Macaca fascicularis: one gene and its partners. The protein of the gene in region 1 binds, or shares a complex with, the protein of each later gene. Links are inferred from orthologs where the notes say so. Each region holds a gene or a part of one and is shown on either strand. Other genes may lie near its edges. The genes, in order: RAB8A, RILPL2 and RAB3IP.

Evidence for each region.
Region 2: the proteins of RAB8A (region 1) and RILPL2 are in contact, whole or in part, in a crystal structure (PDB 6SQ2), measured with the Homo sapiens proteins. The link is inferred for Macaca fascicularis from reciprocal best matches to the Homo sapiens genes RAB8A and RILPL2. Residues at the interface, in NP_005361.2 of Homo sapiens: Ile41, Gly42, Ile43, Asp44, Phe45, Lys46, Ile47, Lys58, Trp62, Phe70, Ile73, Tyr77; in NP_659495.1 of Homo sapiens: Leu135, Leu138, Arg139, Leu142, Gln143, Arg145, Asn146, Lys149, Ser150, Leu153, Glu157.
Region 3: the proteins of RAB8A (region 1) and RAB3IP are in contact, whole or in part, in a crystal structure (PDB 4LHX), measured with the Homo sapiens proteins. The link is inferred for Macaca fascicularis from reciprocal best matches to the Homo sapiens genes RAB8A and RAB3IP. Residues at the interface, in NP_005361.2 of Homo sapiens: Lys10, Phe33, Ser35, Thr36, Phe37, Ile43, Asp44, Phe45, Lys46, Ile47, Trp62, Ile73, Ala76, Tyr77, Arg79, Gly80; in NP_783322.1 of Homo sapiens: Ser199, Arg202, Asp203, Gly206, Leu209, Glu210, Thr213, Ala214, Phe217, Glu218, Ala220, His221, Val224, Asn228.

Annotation. Positions count from the first base shown.
Region 1 is NC_088393.1:16,440,708-16,444,916, reverse strand, and holds part of RAB8A (ras-related protein Rab-8A), read right to left. Parts: intron 3,164-4,209; coding exon 3,086-3,163; intron 1,254-3,085; coding exon 1,164-1,253; intron 641-1,163; coding exon 575-640; intron 1-574. UniProt on the Homo sapiens protein: The small GTPases Rab are key regulators of intracellular membrane trafficking, from the formation of transport vesicles to their fusion with membranes.
Region 2 is NC_088385.1:130,571,472-130,575,780, reverse strand, and holds the start of RILPL2 (RILP-like protein 2), read left to right. Parts: upstream 1-1,358; 5' UTR 1,359-1,433; coding exon 1,434-1,787; intron 1,788-4,309. UniProt on the Homo sapiens protein: Involved in cell shape and neuronal morphogenesis, positively regulating the establishment and maintenance of dendritic spines. Plays a role in cellular protein transport, including protein transport away from primary cilia.
Region 3 is NC_088385.1:76,563,912-76,568,120, reverse strand, and holds part of RAB3IP (rab-3A-interacting protein), read right to left. Parts: intron 1,353-4,209; coding exon 1,275-1,352; intron 654-1,274; coding exon 450-653; intron 1-449. UniProt on the Homo sapiens protein: Guanine nucleotide exchange factor (GEF) which may activate RAB8A and RAB8B. Promotes the exchange of GDP to GTP, converting inactive GDP-bound Rab proteins into their active GTP-bound form.

The DNA of each region.
Region 1 (4,209 bases):
CCTTCCGTGCCAGGCGAGGAGTCTAGCTTTTGTCTTCACGTCAGCACAGAGACTTTAGGTCAGGAGTGACGTGGAAGATCTGCTTTGGAAACATGACTAGGATGGGGAAACATCACAGGGTCAGCTGCAGGGCTGGGGTCACCCCGTGGAGAGGGGAGGGCGGCATGGGCCCAGGTCCCATCAGGGCTCCCTGCTGCGTCTGGGCTTTTGACCGGGACCTCTCCACAATAAGTGGTGTGGCTGAGAGTGTAAACACAGGGCTGGGTCTCTCTGAGCCTCAGCATCCTCACCTGTAAAACCATGCCTGTTCTCCAGGGCTGCCCAGAAGCCCGTGAGATGCATCCTAGGTGCCCTGTGTGGGGCCTGCCCGTGCTGATGGCACCACATTCCCACGGGCTGCCTGTGCCTGGCACATGGCATTGCCCAGGAAATGTCCCTCAGAGGACTGACTGGCAGCCCTGAGCCCGAGGCTGGTCCCTCTGGCAGGACCTCCTCGGAGGACGCCAGCTCCCCCTTCAGCTTGAAGGAGCCGATCCTGCAGGCCCCATGTCTCCCAGCAGGGCCCAGGACTCACATTTTCCACGTTGATGTTGGCCTTCGCGCTGGTCTCCATGAACTTGATTCCATAGTCGAGGGCCAGCTGTGAGAGAGGGAGGCACACGCGTGAGCTCACCAGCTGCCGGGCGCATCTGAGCTTGCCCAAAACAGGGGCTGAAGGCGGGGCTGGCGCCAAGAGGGAGCAGCAACGGGACTGGGGCTGTGGCAGTGACTTCCTGGGTCGCTCCCTTGATTCTATAGTGGGGAGCCCATTGTGAATGCCCCTCCACAGTGCCGCGCAGGGCATGGAGTGCTGGGGATGGCAGCTGAGACGGGAGGGGGGCAGGGGCCTGCTGGGATCAAACCATGGCTCCATTCCCCACTCCTGTGGTCTTAAAAGCCTGGAGTGGGACCATGGTAGGTTTTGATGAGCTGCCCGCAGAGCGCACCCAAGAAGCCCTGGCTGGGTGTGTGCTTCTGCCATCCCACGGCACGTGCCCCACTGGGGTGACCAACTTATCCCAAGCCCCTGGGGCAGAGAGGGACAGGGGAAGGCACCGGGGAAGGCCTCTGCACAAGAACCCCAAGACCCCGAGGCCCTCTGCCCCTTGTGCCACCATGCCCACCTTTTCTCCCCGTTCCTTGGAAACTTGTCTCTTGTCATTCACATCACACTTGTTCCCGAGTATCATCTTTTCGACGTCTGCAGAGGCGTGCTGAGAGGGAGGGGGCAGATGGGGGATCAGACTGGATGACACAGGCTAGGTGCCTTTGCCAACACACAGCCTGTCCCCAGAAATCAGAGCAGTGGGGTCAGGACTGCTAGGTACAGCCTGGCGTAAGGGACAAGCTGAAGCTCAGAGAGGCTGAGCAGCTGGCCCCAAGTCACAGTCAATGCCAGGGCCGGGGCCAGAGTTCTAGCTGCTACTCTGAGCAAATGTACATTTTCTGAAATGCTTTCTGGCAGCTTCTATGGCTATATCAATCAGGCCCCCGCACCTGGGCTGCTGGGCGGGTCTAGCCTATGGGAGGTGAGTGAGGCTGAGATATTTACCCCTGACTTTTGCTTTCCTCCCTCCCTCCCCAGCTCCTCTGCAAGAGGCCCCAGCTGTCGTCCTGGGACCTTCTGCTCTGACATTTTTTTGTTGTTGTTTTGAGATGGAGTCTTGTTCTGTCTCCCAGGCTGGAGTATAGTGGCATGATCTTGGCTCACTGCAACCTCCGCCTCCAGGTTCAAGCGATCCTTAACCTCCCGAATAGCTGAGCTTACAGGCATCTGCCACCATTCCAGGCTAATTTTTTCTATTTTTAGTAGAGACAGAGTTTTACCATGTTAGCCAGGCTGGTCTCGAACTTCTGACCTCAGGTGATCCACCCACCTTGGCCTCCCAAAGTGCTGGCATTACAGGCGTGAGCCACCACGCCTGGCCCTGACATTTCAACTCTCTCTTTTTGGGCTCCAGAAACAGGCCGTGCTTGAGGTGGCCGCAGGCATTTCACCACACTGTGTGGTGCTGCCCTAACTCTGCCCTCATACCCAAAGGTGGCTCCTTCGTCAAGCCTCCCTGGGTCCCCATGGAGCAGACCACACTTCCTGGAGGACAGGGACACTGGAAACTGCTGTCTTCCTCCACCAGCTCAGACTTGGTCTCTGGAACGTACTGCGCCACTCCCTGCCTTACTTCCCATGAACCAGAAGGTGGCTCCTGCCCGCTGGCCAGAAACAGAGACCTTTCACAAAGACCAGGCTCCCCTCTCCACAGATGAAGACAGCTTCCCCAGCTGGGGCGCAGCCCTCTCAGGCTCACTGGGGAGGTGAGCCCAATGCAATGACTCATAAATGAGGGGGTGGCCTCTCGGCCTGGCCTGGGAGGTCCATGAGTCCTGGGTGGACAGTGATACGCCCTTTTGCTGTGGCTTTATAGATGGGAAAAGTTCTCTGGCTGTGCCTCAGACCTGAAGCCCCACCTGGTTAGTTATCAAAAGCTGCAGGTGCCGGCAGCCGGGAAGGCTTTGGGGGTGAGGTCAGCTCTTTGGGGAGCAGGAAGATGAAGATGCTGGCTTTGGGAGGGGAGGAGGGGTTGGCCTCCTTCTCACCCCTCTATGGTTCAAAGTCTGAACACAGGTCGTTTGCACCAGGTCACACCCTGCTCCGATATAGCTCAAAGTACAACTGACGCCTGCTCACCACACCCTCCAACTACAAGGGTCACACCTGTGCTAGACCCTTCCTTCTCTAGAAAGCACCCAACACTCATGGTGACCACAAGCTTGGATATCCTTTCTCTTATGACCATGACACCGGCCAGATCCAACAGCCCAGCTGGAGGGGTGGGATCCAAGGGGCTCTGGGTGGGGCCAGGCCAGTGTGTGGTCCCTGGGGTCGGCTGCCTGCATCTCAGTCCCTGCTCCCACCGTGTCCCTGACTAGGAGGCTGTTGGCAAGTGGCCTGTCTGTGTCTCTGCACCTTGGCCTTCTCATGGGTAAACCAGAGGGCTCTGGGACAAGGACTGAAGCAGGGACAGTGGGAGGTGCTGGCGGGCCTCACCTCCTCAATGTTGCGAATCCAGTTCCGGATGTTGTCGAAGGACTTCTCGTTGGTGATGTCGTACACCAGCATGATGCCCTGAGCGGGGAGAGGAGACACAGGTGCCTGATGGGCTGCAGGCTCTGGAAGGGAGGCCGCGGCGGCACCAGAGAACAGTGGTGGGGAGCCCAGCACCCACTACACAGCCAGGCCCATTAGCTGCCACCCTCCCCACCACTGTGGAGCCCTGGAAACCAGCCCCCTCCTCTCCATCCCTGTGGCCTTTCTGCTGGGTTCTGGCACCAGCCTTGTCCTGCCCCCTGGGCCACTGAAGTGACCCTTCTGCCTCACAGGCCAGCCGCTGCCACGCCCTCGCTGACAAGCCCGGCTGGCTCCCCTCATGGCCCACGGGGCGGTGCAGCCTGATGCTGGGAGCTGCTCCACAGGCCCACTGCCAGCAGTGCTCCCCTCACACTGACCCTCCCCTGCAATCGGCCTCCTCTTCACCCCTTGCTCGCCCCACGCTCTGCCTGAGCCACCTCTCAGGCACAACTGAGCCCAGGGAGTCCTGACCTGACATCCACGCAACTTCCAGTGACCCCACCACAGAGGGAACCAGCTGTGTGAAGATGGAGCCGGGAGCGCCGAGGCCCTTCCAGTTCCCTAACCTAGATGTGAGCAACTGGGAGACGGCCCGTGGGTCCTGAAAGAGCTTCGGGGCAGCCCCGCCTCAGCCTGGGTCCACAGCCACACCACTGCTGTGGACAAGGGCAAACATGCCCATGCAATGCAAGGGGAAACTGAGGCACAGAGAAGTGACCTTTAAGATTCAAGCCTGGGGGGCCTAACTCCAAAAGCACTGATGACACCTATCCTCTCAGCAATGTCCCTGGGCCTTTTTCAGCCCCAGAACCCACATGCAGGAGCCACCCTCTGACGGTCTGTGTGTGGTTCTCGATGTCCTTGTGAAGTGCCCACAGTGGGCCAGCCTGCAGTGCCATCACAAGTTCCCCTTGGTTGCCGGGCATCCTGGGCTCCAAGGCATGTGGCCTGCTCACGTCCAGGCCTGGCTTTCTTCCTTCCTCCTCGTACCTGCTCCCCAGGCCCAGCTCTGCATCTGTGGCACCTCCGAGGGCACTGATGAC
Region 2 (4,309 bases), on another chromosome or scaffold:
TCCAATGGAACCTAAAATAACTTGAGATTTGTTGTGCTTTTGTTTTGAAACATGGTCTCACTCTGTCACCATGGTCTTACTCCGTCACAGGCACCACTCTGTGGTGCGATCTTGGCTCGCTGGAGCCTCAACATCCTGGGCTCAAGCGATCCTCCCACCTCAGCCTCCCGAGTACCTGCCACTACAGGCATGAACCACCGTGTCCACCTAATTTTGTTTACTTTTTGTGGAGATAGGGTCTCACTATGATGCCCAGGCTAGTCTCGAATTCCTGGGCTCCAGCAATCCTCCTGCCTCAGCCTCCTAAAGTGTAGAGATTAAGGCATGAGCCACAGCGAATAACTCAAGTTTCTAAGCCACACTGCTAATATTCTCAGTAATATGGATTCTGCATATGTGTCAAATGCTTTGTGATTTTCAGACAGGGGTTTCTCTCTTGTTAATTACGCCTGCTTCTCTCACCCAAGTAGCAAGGTGTCTCCAACACCAGCAATTCCTCCCCAGCTCTGTGGAAGAAAGAATGAAGGATCACAATCACATCTGTAAGTGCTTCCTAAGTGTGTGAGGTGTCACACACATTATCTCATAAGTTCATGTTCCTCGCAGCAACCCTGCCACCTGGGTCCCGCTATTGTCCCCATTTTACAGAAGAGGAGACTGAGGCTTGGAGACGTTAAGTAACTTGCCAAGGTGGCAGCGCCGGTTACGTGGAGGAGCCGAGGACCCAGCGAAGTGAGCAGGGTAGGAATTCCCCATTTTATTGAGAGTCACAGAAGTCAGATGCCCCAGGCCCTAATGATAATTTGCTGGGAGTTTTCCAGATCCTCAAGCCTTGGGGACTCTGTCGCGCTGCCCACAACAGCTGCTTTCTGTTTGGCCGCAGGTTCCAGAAAACTCCCTCAAAGAGAGACCCGAATCTTCCATCACGTACGATGCAAATTCTACGGCTGGAAAGCACGAGAGTAGAAAGGAAAAAGTTGCTTTCTTTTTGCTCTGCTCTCGATTGCGCGGTGGAAACTCGGTCTCCACGGGAACGCGCCTCCCGGCAGCGGTCGCCAGGGGCGGGGCTCAGGGCGGCTCCTCCCCCGGGCTGCAACTGTTCCCAGGCTGGGGGGATTGCCCTCACCCCTGAACTTTCCTCTTCTCGGACGCCCTCCTTTTCTGTTGTCCCTTCGCGCCCCAAACCACAACCTGGAGCGCACTCGCCCGCGCGGCCTGCAGCAGGGACGGTGCGCCAGGGGCGCAGGCCCTAGAGTCGCGTGCGCGGCCCCTTTTTCCCCTTCCCCCCCGCCCCCCCCGGGCCCACCCCCGGGCCGCGCTGATTGGGCAGGTAGGGACTCTGCCCAGCGGAAAGTTTTGGGTGCCGGGAGGAAGTTCAACCTTTGGGAGACTCCAAGAGAGCAGCTCCGGGGTCGGCGGGGGTCTGGGTGGCCATGGAGGAGCCCCCTGTGCGAGAAGAGGAAGAGGAAGAGGACGATGAGAGGGACGAGACTGAGGACGAGGAGAGGGACGAGGCTGGGCCCGAAGGGGCGCTGGGCAAGAGCCCCTTCCAGCTGACCACCGAGGACGTGTATGACATCTCCTACCTGTTGGGCCGCGAACTTATGGCCCTGGGCAGCGACCCCCGGGTGACGCAGCTGCAGTTCAAAGTCGTCCGCGTCCTGGAGATGCTGGAGGCGCTGGTGAATGAGGGCAGCCTGGCGCTGGAGGAGCTGAAGATGGAGAGGGACAACCTCAGGAAGGAGGTGGAGGGGCTGCGGAGACAGGACCCTCCGACCAGCGGGGAGGTGAGTGTTGGGCCCAGAGCGCCTGCGGGGCGTAGGAGGGCGCCTACTAGCAGGAAGACACCTTCTCTTTTCTTTTCTTTTCTTTTCTTTTCTTTTTTCTTTTCTTTGCCTTTCCTTTCTTTTCTTTTCCTTTTTTTTTTTAAAGAGATGGGATCTCGCTGTGTTGCCCAGGCTGGTCTCAAACTCCTGGCTTCAAGTGATCCTCCAGCCTCAGCCTCCTAGAGTACTGGGTTTACAGGTGGGAGCCACCCTGCGGGGCCAGAATCTGTATTTCTAACGAGTTCCCAGTTAATGCTGATGCTGGTGGCCCCGGGTCCAGTTTGAGAACCTTTGACCTAGAGCAACAAACACAATTTTTTTTTTTTTGACACAGGGTCTTGCTCTATTGCCCAGGCTAGAGTACAGTGGTGCAAACATGGCTCACTTACAGCCTTGGCCTCCTAGGCTCAAGCAATTCTCCTGCCTCAGCCTTGCGAGTAGCTGGGAGTACAGGCATGTGCCACCATGCCTGGCTAACTGTTTTGATGTTTTGTAGAGATGGGGGTCTCACCGTTACCCAGGCTGGTCTCAAACTCCTGAGCTCAGGGAATCCTCCCGCCTTGGCCTCCCAAAGTGCTGGGATTGTGGATGTGAGCCACCACACTTGGGCAAGAAACACATTTTACCTAAAGAGAAATTAGTGCATATGACCACAAAAAGACATAGACAAGAAGATTCCGAGCAGCTTTAGTCTCAACTGCTGAACTGGAAACAATCTAAATGCAACCCAGTTTCAGTTTTGAAATTGTGATATATGGAATACTGTGCAACAGAAAAAGAACAGGGTGCTGATACACATAGCAGTGTGAATGAATCTCACAGATGTTACATTGAGAGAAAGAAGCCAGGCACAAAAGAGAAACTACTGTAGATTTTTTTTTTTTTCGAGTCAGAGTCTTGCTCTGTTGCCCAGGTGTAGTAGTGCAGTCACGTGACCTCGACTCACTGCAACCTCCACCTCCTGGGTTCAAGCGATTCTCCTGCCTCAGCCTCCTGAGCAGCTGGGATTACAGGCACTTGCCACCATGCCTGGCTAATTTTTTTTTTTTTTTTTCTTTTTTAGTAGAGACGGGGTTTTGCCTTTTTGGCCAGGCTGACCTCAAACTCCTGGCCTCAAGTGACCCACCCACCTCAGCCTTCCAAAGTGCTGGGATTACAGGCGTGAGCCACCGTACCCGGCCTAGGTTTTTAAAATTCTTGTCGAAACTCATTCATGTTATGACCTACTAGCAGGTCTCCAGCCACAGGTAAAAAAAAAAAAAAAAAAGCTGCTGTAAGTGGACGATGTCTTTTTTAATCCTCACACTATTACTGTTTTACAAAAATGAGGCACAGAACAATTAAGTAATTTGCCTGAGGACTTAACGGCAAGTAAGAGGTGAAGCCAGGATCTTCATTCAGAGATGCTAGCCCTAAATACTCCATCCTAAAATGCAGACATTTGACCTTACTTGTTGTACTAACATTTGATGAGTGACTGCAGTGACTGATGCTAGGCTCTGGGGCTATGGAGATAAAGTAGACAAGGTGCCTGCCCTCAAGAAGCTCACATCTAGTGGGAGAGGCCAGACACACAGTCCTAGAACCAGGACACAAGTATACAAACCGGGCCAGGCGCAGTGGCTCACACCTGTAATCCCAGCACTTTGGGGGGCCGAGGCAGGCAGATCACTTGAGGCCAGGAGTTCGGGACCAGCCTGAGCAACATGGTGAAACCCTGCCTCTACTAAAAATACAAAATTAGCTGGACCTGGTGGCGCACGCCTGTAATCCCAGCTGCTCAGAGGCTGAGGCACGAGAATCACTTGAACCCAGGAGGTGGAGGTTGCAGTGAGCCGAGATCGTGCCACTGGACTCCATCCAGGGCGACAGAGCAAGACTGTCTCAAAAACAAACAAACAAACAAAAACCAAGTATACAAACCAAGGCTGGGCGCGGTGGCTCACGCCTGTAATCCCATCACTTTGGGAGGCCGAGGCAGGCAGATCAGGAGGTCAAGAGATCGAGACCATCCTGGCCAACATACTCCGCGTCTACTAAAAATACAAAAATTAGCTGGGCATGGTGGCACGCGCCCATATTCCCAGCTACTCGGGAGGCTGAGGCAAGAGAATTGCTTGAACCTGGGAGGGGGAGGTTGCACTGAGCTGAGATCATGCCACTGCATTCCAGCCTGGCAACAGAGCAAGACGATTTTGTCTTAAAAAAAAAAAAAAAGTATACAAACCAAGAAGTAAGCCTGGAAAGAGCAGGAACGAGTCACTGAAATTCACAGGGAAGTGTGAAGTTTCCCAGTAGCTTCCCTGGTAACTTTTTTTTCTTATTATTATTAATTGTTATTATTATTTGCCTCATACCTTCTCTGACCCCGGTAGTTTATTTCACCTATTCCTAAGTGATGGTGACAATTGTATTTCTAGATAATATTCTACTTTAGTATCTGTCAAGTGACATGGTTAAGTGTGATGACTTGTAGCCTGGCT
Region 3 (4,209 bases), on another chromosome or scaffold:
TCCGAATTAACTCTAGGACTCCTTTGCTGATATAGAATTCTCTCTCTGAATTTAAATATAAGCAACGTATTGATCTTTAAGAAAATAATCTTATTTTCACATATTTCTTATATCCACACTTTGTAAGTGCACTCTAGCAATAAACATTGACTAGCCAGATCATTAAAGCCACCCACTCTCCTCTAGACAACACATGACAGTTTCCTCCCTTAATGAAATATTGAGATTAAGAAACTTACCAAGTTTCTAGCAGGTACTCCAAGGTCAGCCAGGTAGAAAATGGAACTGAAGAATCCCTGAAAGCAGCCAGCTCTAGATAAAGCCTCCCCCATCTTAATACTGAATATTTTGTACTAAAAATTTTGCTGGCAAAAATGATAACTGACACCTCAGTGATGAGAATTAACAAGTATCAACAGAGTCAGAGGGGACAGTCCTTGACGAGTTACCTCTTTGCAGTCTTTTACAATTGGCTGTATCACACTGAGGTCCTGATGACTGCCACTCATAGCACTGCTTGTGCTTTTATTTCTTGTATGCCCCTTTTTAAAAGGTGTCTTTCCACCTGGCAAAGGCTCTTGCGTAGGTGATGTTGGAGAACTGGACAATACAAGTGTCTTCAATGCAGCTACTTCAGCTTGAAGTACATCAATCTTGGAAAGAAATCAACATAGTCACATACATTAAATATGTTTCATGACAAATGCAGCTAAATATTAGCAATCTGGTCAAAACACTTTCAAAGATGAAAAGTAAGTGTAATTTGTATGTCCTGTGGAGTAATAAAGAGAAACTAAAATCAAGTTTTTCGATGTTTCCATATGGTTTGGATTCATCTATTATTCACAATGTCAAATCAAATTTTGAAAATTACCATAATAGCTAACATTTATGTGAATTTTCAAAATCTTCAAAATACAATAGCTTATGACTAGTTGTAGAAGTTCACTCCTAAAACAGTAAAATCTAATAACATTTAGGTGGCTTTTCTCAGTGAATTTAAAAACTAAGTATTAACATTAAAATGTGATTCTATAATCCTTTGGATAATTCATGTGATTTACAAGGCTTTAAATCATTTGGTTCTCATATAAATGGACACCAAATGTTTACTATTAATTATATCTACATAGTAGCTATTTTATTCTATTTTTCTGTAGTTTCCAAATTGAAAACAAGCACTACTTTACAATCAGAATAAAATCCAACAGATGTTAAGGTATCTTTAAAACAGTCACCACTATTTTATACTATTAAGAGCAGCAAAAACTTACTTTTCCTTGTGCTTCTTTTAGCTGTTTTTCTGCTGTTGCCTGCTTGATATTTGCTTCTCTCACCATTTTATGAGCTTCCTGAAAAAGTTAACATCTCACATTTTAGAAACAAAGTAGCATTTGTTTTCAAAAAGCTTTTGCCAAGTGTTTATGATTGAAGCAAACATATACTACCAGAATTTAGCCCCAAAATAAGTACTCAATATCAACTATGGAAGCAGCAGTTGACAACAGAGAGACAACTATGAGGCATTAGGAATAGGTGCCTTCTTTTAGGACCTATTACCACCGAGGCAGCCAAGTTGAGATCAATCATCCTGATTAATGCTTGCATAAGGACTGTAAATGTGATGAAGGCAAACAATGACCAACATGTCAAAGCCACCTCCTTTGCAGTCAGCTTTTTATAATGTGGTCACTATATATATTCTTATTAGTCATAGCAAAGACATACAGGAGGGACAAGTAAAAACATTAACACACCAATAATGTTGCAGTTTACAGTAATGACAGTTAAGCCGCCTTAGAGCTTTTAATAAAAAGATTCACAAAATTATACACGTCACTTAGTATAAGTGTTGTTCTGTGCAGAGCAACCTAAAAAGGCAAATCAGAGTTTACCCTTTAATAGATTTTTAATCTTTCAGTACTACAAATATGAAACTCTAGGCATTTAATTCATTTTATTCATATAATGTTTATTCATGAGACATTTACTCATGTCATCTCCTCGTGAGGTGCTGCTCCAGATGCTGATTACATTCTGGGAAAGGACAAAGTCCCTGCTCTTAAGGAGCTTACATTCTGATTAATCAAATAAAATATCAGGGTAAGAATTGCAGGTTTTATTCTAAATGCAATATGAAGCCTTACAGTTTTTCTAAGGAAGTCTTACAGTTTTGTTAAGGAAGACATGATCTTTTTATTTTTAAAAGATTATGCCCTTGTATAGAATAATCCCTATAAGGGATTAAGAATGGAAACATATATATAGGGTGCTTGAGATAGTGCCCTGGGATTTAAGAACTTACATTTTAGAACTTCAATTCACAATTTATCAGAGGAAGGAAGAAAATGAGCTTCAAAGATATTTAATGAATAGTTTGACAATGGCACCCTCACTAGGTCTATGCACAGAGGTAGAATGGAAAGGTGGAAGTTCTTTACATCAGAGTTTGACTGTTTCCCATTTGTTCATCTGCTTTTACACTACTGTAATGATTGTAGTTTGCATGTGCCCCTGAATGTGAATTTGCAGCTTATATTAGTTTAAATAGGAGAATCTTTACTATCAATGATTTATAACAAAATTATATTAACCATGAAGATATTCCATGCACTATTATTCTGGCTATCTTGGCAAAGTCCTTAAGAGCTGTCAAATTTAATGAGTTAAATAGTCTCCCTTTAAAAGTAACAATTGTTTCAGATTTGCTGAATTTTTCTGGGATATGTGGCTGTCAACAGAAGACTATTTGGTGATGTTTTAAAAATAATAAACACAGCTAATCTGACCCTTCAAGATAAGTAACATTTTAACTTTAAATGCAAAAGTAATTCATACTATGGAGAGAATAGTTGACTAAATTTTTGGAAATGGACTCTGCTTTCATTAATAGTGGATTATACAGTTTGGACCAAACCTCAAATGGAGAATGATTAGAAAAGCTACACAAGTTTTTTGTTTGTTTTTAAAATGTGTTTGAAGGTATTTGAGAACAAAACAGTGAAGTAAACTTAGAAGTGATGTGAAATTTTAGGTGACTTTTCCACTACACACATAAGGGTTACAGTGAAAAGGTATAACACACATGTAACTGGAGCCCCAAAAGGAAAGATGAGCACTAGACTAGGGCAGGATCAGTTGCTAAAAAGATAACATGCAGAACTTTTACAGAATTTTTAAAAAACTGACAAAAAACATCAAAAGGTAGACTCAAAAAAAGTTTGAAACTTTTCCATCACACTGTCCTTCTGAAGCTGAAAATGATATAAGTATCACCTATACCAGGAGTTGGCAAACTTTTTCTGTAGAGTCAAACACTATGTATACATATTGCAACTCCTTAGCTCTGCTGTTGCAATGTGAAAGCAGCCATAGACAATACACAAATTAGTGTCGCTGCTTTAATAAATAGGAGCACTGAAATATACATATCATTTTGTTTTTATTTTAGCATATCCAGCACCTCCAAGTTACCTTTTTTTTGGACACGAGAGGTGGTGAGCATACAAGATCTACCTTCTTAGCAAATTTGTCACATACAATATAGTCATGCTGTACATTGGGTTTCAGAATTTATCTATCCTGCATAACTGATACTTTGTACCAATGACCAACATCTCCCATTTCTCCCATTTCCCAGCTCCTGACAACCACCAGTCTACTCTGTGCTTCTATGAGCTCGACTGCTTTAGCTTCCACATATAAGTGAGATAATGTAGCATTTGTCTTTCTGAGTCTTGCTTATTTCACTTCCTCCAGGTTCACTCATGTTGTTGCAAAACATAGGATTTCCATTTTCTTTTAAGGTTGAGTAGTATTCATATATACACACATACCCCCCACATTTTCTTATTTTTGTTCTCCATTTGCTTGGTAAATCTTCCTCCATCCCTTTATTTTGAGCCTATGTATGTCTCTGCATGTGAGATGGGTCTCCTGACACATTTTCTTTATCCATTCATCAATGGACATGTAACTTGTTTCCATAACTTTGCTACTGTGAATAATGCCGCAATGAACATGGAAGTACACATAACTCAAAATAGCAATTTTCTTTTGGATATATACCTGGAAGTGGGATTGCTAGATGATGCAGTAGCTTTATTTTTAATTTTTTGAGGAGAAACTTCCATACTGTTTTCCATAATGGCTGTACCAATTTACATTTCCACCAATAGCGGACAAGTTCCACTGCTCCACATCCTTGTC